2 linked regions of the Callithrix jacchus genome follow. The protein of the gene in region 1 purifies or fractionates together with the protein of each later gene. This does not show direct contact. Links are inferred from orthologs where the notes say so. Each region holds a gene or a part of one and is shown on either strand. Other genes may lie near its edges.

Region 1 (3,812 bases):
ACAATATGTTTTTTTCTCACCTGTCCAGAATGAGATTTGGAGCAAAGATGAGCTTGCCGGGGTGGTCAATTGAGCGCCACATCAGCCCCACCATTAACACCTCCAACCAGCAGCTCTCCAAGAGCCGCACTTGGTCCAACAGGCTGAGCTCCACAAAGCCTGGGGAAAGTAAAAGGTAGTGAGACACCCCCACCCCTCCTCCTCAGCTCCCTGTTTCTGTAGAGATAGAATGGCAAGTGTTAAAACACTAAGAAAACAGAAACCATTAGGGAATCAATATTTTATAGATGTGATTAACTGCTCATTAAAGGAAGAAAACTTTTAAGTTAAGCTGCGCAACCGGTTTCCAGTCTTGGACCCCTTCTAGAGACATCATTTGGAGTTTGTCAAGCACTATGACCTGGGCTCAGAACCAACTGTCGTTAGCTGCGTCCTGATCATTCCTCTGCGCTACTGAGAAGGTTAATGTTTGGCTGCCAGTCAGAGGAGCTGCCTGTCTGACCCAGTCCTTGACTGGGATCAGAAGGCGCTGGGGAATGCGGTAGGTGGAGGCTGCAGGTGGAGGCATGCAGACAGCAGTGCCAGCCCGCACAGAAAGCCAAGGACTCAACAGCAAGGATTTCTCTGATTGCTTAAAATCTCCCATCCAGTGTTAGGATCCTTCTTCTAGGTAGAAGCACTGTTTCTGGGTGATTCTATCCTAAACAGCAAACATAGCCCAGGCACAGTGAGGCACAACTGTAATCCCAGGACTTTGGGGGGCCAAGGTAGGTAGATTGCCTGTACCCAGGATTTGGAAACCAGCCTGGCCAACATGGGGAAACCCCATCTCTACAAAAAATTACCTGGTCACGGTGGTAGGTGACTGAAGTCCCAGAAACTCTGAAGGCTAAAGTGGGAGGATGGCTTGAGCCCGGGAGGTCAAGACTGCAGTGAGCAAGATCACACCACCACACTCCAGCCTGGGCAACAGGGTGAGACCTTGTCTCAAAAAAATAAATAAATAAATAAAGAGCAAATATGGCCAGGTACAGTGGCTCCTGCCTGTAATCCCAGCACTTTGGGAGGCCAAGGCGGGAGGATCATGAGGTTAGGAGATCAAGACCATCCTGGCCAACATAGTGAAACCTCGTCTCTACTGACAATACAAAAAAAATTAGCTAGGCATGGTGGTGCATGCCTGTAATCCCAGCTACTTGGGAGGCTGAGGCAGAAGAATTGCTTGAACCCAGGAGGCAGAGATTGCAGTGAGCCGAGATGGCGCCACTGCACTACAGCCTGGGCGAGATGCAAGATTCTGTCTCAAAAACATAATAATAAAAAGCAAATATAACGAAGCAGGTCCTGACAACCTAATAACACATGTTGGTCACAATACTGATTGAAAACAGGTAACCTCTGGGGAGGGGAGCACTTTAAAAAAAAGCATAGAACACCGGGGCTTCCTCCACAAGCCATGATAAAAGGAGAGGACCATGTAATAGAAATATGGTAACAAAAGACAGAGCATTGGCATGAAATGGACTCTGGTTTGAATCCCAGCTCAGCCTCTTGCTAGCTGGTCACTTAATTTCCCACTAAGTCTTTGTTTTTCTTATAGGAAAATGGGGATAATAATGCCTATCTCTGGGAATGTCCTATAGGCAGGATCTCTTACCATCCTTATTTTACAGATGAGGATGCTATGGCAGAGAGAACACATGTGGTTCAAGTCTTGGAACAATTATAGTGCCAATTTGCATAAAGGAGAATTTCATGGTGTTATGAATGTAAAGATGGATAAATACTTTCTAAATCCACATGCTATGCTCAACTTAGGTTCCTAATGTGTATACACCTTCCCAATCTCACCCACAGTGATAGACAATAGCCTACCCAAGAGAGATCACGGTTCTTAATCTTGTAGATATTCAACAAAATTAGGGCTAGATGATAACTTTTTTGTTTGTTTGGACAATGACTATGCCAGCTAGGAGAGGGGGGAAAAATCACGCCTTCAGACTATGCCTATGTTTCCCAAAAATTTTTAAAAACACCAGGTTTAATAAGGAATAATGCAGCTGAAAAGTTCAGATTTCTTATGGCACAAAGAAGGGGCACAGCTTTCAGTAATAACTAATTTCACCACTGCTCTCCATGTGTGGTCCTGCAAAACTGTGTTTGGAATACATTTAAAGCAAAAACTAGAGCAAAGTGCATCAGCACTGTCTCCTCTGGGAAAAAGCAGAGAAAATAAAGTAATTCTGGCAAAGGTGAAGATGCTAGACAAAACAAAATACAACTAGAAACCAAAAAATCCTCAGGAAGCTCAGAAGAAATGGGCCCAGGCCAACAAAAGTCCCCAAGTGATACTGTCACTGTAGGCCTCAGTTCCCCGGGCTCTTTACCTGGAACTGCTCTCCCCCCAGCTTCTCACCCCTCCTCATCTTTACATTTGCCCAGTACACTTGCTGCTCTCCAGGCCATGGGAATGTCCCCAGTGGCTCAGAACTTGTAAGAGACTTCTTTTCTTCAAGGACTGTAAAGAAGGGCATGGGGAAGCTTTCACAGGGGGATTGTGGGGTGTTGCCATTCTAGGTTAGAATCCTAGATTCACTCCTCCACAGAAACACCAAGTCAAATGATAATTGGCTGGTAATTTTAGCATCATACAGCCCTTCAGGTATATATTACAAATGGGCTTGGGAGAAGTGATCATTTTAGAGGATGGAAAATGCAGGTTCCAAATGATAACTCACGAGTCACTAAGCTCACTTTTAACTCAATGGCATTCCAAGTTTATGGGCCCATTGAGGATTCATGTAACTGATTTACTCTATTTGTCCATACATACTTATTTATGTACATAATATTGATTCTCTATTGGAATAATAATTTATAAAATTCTATTTAACATCTGACAAACCTTTCACTTCCAAACCAGTCATACTGCACCCTGCCCCATCCTATCTAAACATGCCCCTCCTCTCAAGGTGAGGAGTCCACAGCCAAAGGACAGGTCAATGTGGAGCCCAGCTTTTTAATTAATTAATTAGTTATTATTATTTTAGACAGAGTCTTGCTCTGTTGTGATCTCGGCACTACAACCTCCGCCTCCTGGGTTCAATCGACTCTCCTGCCTCAGCCTCTCAAGTAGCTGGGATTACAGGCATCTGCCACCATGCCTGGCTAATTTTTGTATTTTTAGTAGAGACAAGGTTTTGCCATGTTGGTAAGACTGGTCTTGACAGCTGACCCTGTATTCCGTCCTCCTCGGCCTCTCAAAGTGCTGGGATTACAGGCGTGAGCCACCACGCCTAGCTGAGCCCATCATTTTAACCCTGTTCCAGGTTCCAGGACCCTAGGATTTCTTGCCCAAATGACCCCAAGCCCAATTTCAGAGCCTGGGTGGGTTCCCTGGGTCCATCCTCCCAGACCACCTCTAGGCATGAAAGGTGGCCAACAGGTGTCTGTAGCAGACATGGACACATAGGATGGGGTTTGTGCAAGGAAGGTAGTATGGGATGCATCTGTCCATGGGAAAAGAAGGGAGTCAAGAATAGAAACGGCTGGGTGACAGCTCTTTCTGCACTACCATGTCTGGTACTGAACTTAGAGGAGTCTTAGAATTCTAAATCGGAACATGGCCTTGTTGAAGGTAGGTATGCCAAGATGGGAGCAAAGAACATATTGCACTCAGAAGTTACAAATCCAGCTGTGGAACTGTTAAATATCTAGGCACAGCTCGTGGACCTCTACTTTGTACTCTTGCCCCTTAAATATTAGCAGCAGGCCTTTCTACAAGCACATGGAAAACTAATAGCCAGAAGGCC
Region 2 (3,812 bases), on another chromosome or scaffold:
CAAAGCATCATCTAGCTTCTATGAAACACTTGAGGGGCAGTAATCATAATTAGTGAGATTCCTACTTCATATACATACTAGTAGCGGCTTAATTTTCCTTTAGTTAATGCTCAAAATACTGCCCCTAAAATAACAGGTTTAAAGAATGCTGATCCTGAGACATAAGCTAATATGATTAAATGACAGTACCTGGACCATAATATTATCACTCGATGCAGCTTCTTGGGCTTCATTGATCCAGCGCTTAACCACATCATAGCTTATCTTCATCATGTGCTAAATACAGGGAAAAAAATGAAAATAAATAATGCATGGTCACTAGAAACTTAGAAACATGAGTTAGTTTTTTTGAAAAATCAGTAACAGACATTTCCCAGGAGAAAGAAAACTATGTAGCTCTTATAAGTATATTTTGTGTCTCTATTGCTAGGGCAACTGATAAATCATAAGTATTTTCTTCTATACCCTTTACAAAGGTGAGTATATAGAGGTGTGTAAAAGGAAGTAATGAAAGAGGAAGAACAGGATGAGGATGGTGCTTAAATAACGTTATCATTACAAGCTTTACTTCTAGGAAACTCCCCTGGAAGAAAGAAAAAGAGTATTAATATATTCTCTGCTATGAAACTCAACCAATTATCTTCCAGAATCAGAAACTCTTGTGATTTAGATGTCTTACACATTCACACATATGTAACTGACATTAATCAAATGCAATGTGATAGGTTTTAATGTATAAACTGTGTTCTGTTGAAAAACTGAAAGAAAAAAATTACTAAAGAAAAGACTACTTCCTCGCAGAAAATTCAGAGGTGGGGCAGGAAATTTTGAAGGATACACATAGACAAAGGGCACCAGAAAAAGCAGAGGACAAAGGGCACCAGAAAAAGCAGAGGACAAAGAGACAAGTAGTGGAAGTCATAAAGGCAAGTCATAAAGAAGATTTTAAATAAAAGGGCCCTAGGTTTCTTCCCTGTCCCATACCCCACACTTACCCCGCTTTTATTATGTGTACAACATAACTTTCAAATTTCTAAAACCTTTCAAACATATGACAATTTTATGTTTTTAATTCTTCAATGATCCTCTAGATCAGCAACCTCCAACCTTTTTAGTACCAGGGATTGGTTTTATGAAAGACAATTTTTCCACTGGCAGAGGGAGGAGGGATAGTTTTGGGATGAAACCATTCCACCTCAGATCATCAGGCATCGGTTACATTCTCATATGAAGTTGGCATTCTAGATCCCTCACATGCACAGCTCACAATAGAGCTTGCACTCCTATGAGAATCTAATGCTGCTGCTGATCTGATGGGGGCAGAGCTCAGGCAGTAATTAATGCTCACTTGCCTGCCGCTCACCTCCTGCTGTACAGCCCAGTTCCTAACAGGCCACTGAACAGGACTGGCTGAAGCCCTGGGGTGGGAACCCCTTCTCTAGATAAAACAAACTTGGATAAAGTAATAGAGGTGTATACATATTTTTAACTGTCTCATTTGTGAGAGAATCATAGAGATACTTTATTTTTGCAACTAGAAACTGTACCATCCATAAGAACTAGGAAGCTGCTAGCTCACTTACTAGGGAAGATACCAGTGCTGAACTGGATACACTGGAAACTTTATCCACAATGGCCTGCTTCATATATCTTTCGATGGCTTGCAACATTGTTCCCTAATAACATTCAAAAAGAAAAAATTGTTGAGGAAAAACATTTTTATGCAAATTACTATTAATGCTTCAAAATAATTTTCAAAAACTAATCATGTATTTGTTTCTGTGCAATTTCATTTAGAATGCACTAAAAGGATAATGTAGTAATAATATCCCAAAGGGTAGAACCGAAACAACTAAGTTGAAGCTTTAGGAAAGAATATTTAAGATTATATGTAAAGAAGAGTAACTGTTCAATGATGAAATAAACTGTCTCAAAATGCAGAATCTCTGTTTGGAAGAAATACACAAGTAGAGGCTGAACCAATCAGGTATGTTATAAAGAAATTCCTATAGGCAGATGGAGCCTGCTTTTGAAGTTATGAAGATTCCTCTATGTGAAGGGCACATATTACACATAGATCCCAGAGTCCTAGAAATCAAAGGTAATATCTGATTATCTTAGATACATAAAGAATTAAATGTATAGTATATTACTATAGTGAGCCCTCAGCGTGAAATCCTCTGGAAATACTGTTCTTTTTAAATGGGAAAAAGCACTGGGGAGGTGGTGGCGACAAAGATGAGTAAAAAGACTAAGAGCAATATTCAAATGAAAAAAAGAGTTTTATTGCTAGCACTAGCATGGTCAAGTCTCATGCTGCTACCAATTTAATGCTAAAAATAAATAAAAACAACCACAAGAAAACAACAGTGCAGCAAAAAATATTAAAGCATTTCTATTACTCCTTTTAAGATCCAGATTTACCAAATGTATAATGTGGTCCTGCTCAACTTTTAAAACTTGAGAAGGTTACAAACATACACCTAAAATATAACCAAGCATGAGTATATAGTTATTACTCAATTTGCTTGGTAATGCCTGGCCTGCGCTTCCTTCTCAGAGTTTTCAGAAAGAGAAGAGACAGCCTAACATATTACATGACCTCATCTCTCCAGATACAATGAACTGGATCAACATTAAACACCTGACTCAGACACAAGTGGATACAAGCTACTGGCCTATTGCTGGCTAGTCAGATTATCACTCTTAAATATTTGTACGAGAGGGCCTGTGTCTCATACATGATGGATCACCACAGTAAATGGCCTGGCCAATATAGTGAAACCCCATCTCTACTAAAAATACAAAAATTAGCCAGGTGTGGTGTGGGTGCCTGTAATCCCAGTACTTGGAAGGCTGAGGCAGGAGAATCACTTGAACCTGGGAGGCGGAGGTTGCAGTGAGCCAAGATTGCATCACTGCACTCCAGCCTGGGCAAAAGAGCAAGACTTCGACTCAAAAAAAGAAAAAAAAATTTGCTGTTGAATTCTTAAAGCTGCCCAATTTCTTGCACTGGTCTAGTTGTAAGCTTTACCTCAAATTCTGAGAGATTTGTGTCCTATAATAAAGCTTTTTCTTTTAAGATAAATTTGAATGGGTTTTTGTTTCCTGCAAGCAACGTACCCTCACCACAACAGTTCAAGAGGGCAAATAAAGTGAGAAAATGGACTAACATAAATACATGAAAGGAAAAAAATCTGAAGAAAAAAGAAAGCCCGGAGCCACAAAATCCTTTCTGGTGATCATGTTTCTCTTATACTGAAGATTCACAAAGTCAATCTAGGAAATCCTACTCAGTCTACATGGCCACTCACAGATAAGCAGAGTGTTCCATTTGATAACTCAGTGAAACAGAGAACTTACATCAGTGATTCTGCAGAGAGCCCTGATGGCTGGGCCTCGGTATACATCTTCTTTTCCAGTCATGTCCTTAGTCAGACTAAGAAAAATCAAATTGGTTAACATAAGATCAATTAAAATCTCTGCCACGGAGTTCACCCCTAGCCAATTTCCAATTGTCCCATAATTATCTTAATGCAGCTACTGATTCAACAAATATTTAGGGAGCATATTCTTTGTATACGTGCTAAGACTACTGTGTAGAAGACTGTTCTAACTCAACAATATAGCAATGAGCAAAATTAGCAAAAGGCGAAAGTCCTTTGCCTTCATGGAACTTACATTCTAGGAGGAAGAAAGATTATCACATAAACAAAACAACCCCTTCCCCATAATTTTAGATACTGATAACTGGCATAAAAAATAAACTAAGGACAATGGAATAAAGAGCCCTAGTAGTCTGACATATGCCC

The links.
Region 2: the proteins of ESR2 (region 1) and COPG2 purify together in Homo sapiens (affinity purification with mass spectrometry; 3 studies listed by BioGRID and IntAct, with this or other methods). This does not show direct contact. The link is inferred for Callithrix jacchus from reciprocal best matches to the Homo sapiens genes ESR2 and COPG2.

The regions. Positions count from the first base shown.
Region 1 is NC_133509.1:98,920,808-98,924,619, forward strand, and holds part of ESR2 (estrogen receptor beta), read right to left. Parts: intron 160-3,812; coding exon 21-159; intron 1-20.
Region 2 is NC_133512.1:116,631,377-116,635,188, reverse strand, and holds part of COPG2 (coatomer subunit gamma-2), read right to left. Parts: intron 3,440-3,812; coding exon 3,364-3,439; intron 1,677-3,363; coding exon 1,584-1,676; intron 1,067-1,583; exon of another isoform or gene 996-1,066; intron 277-995; coding exon 190-276; intron 1-189. UniProt on the Homo sapiens protein: The coatomer is a cytosolic protein complex that binds to dilysine motifs and reversibly associates with Golgi non-clathrin-coated vesicles, which further mediate biosynthetic protein transport from the ER, via the Golgi up to the trans Golgi network.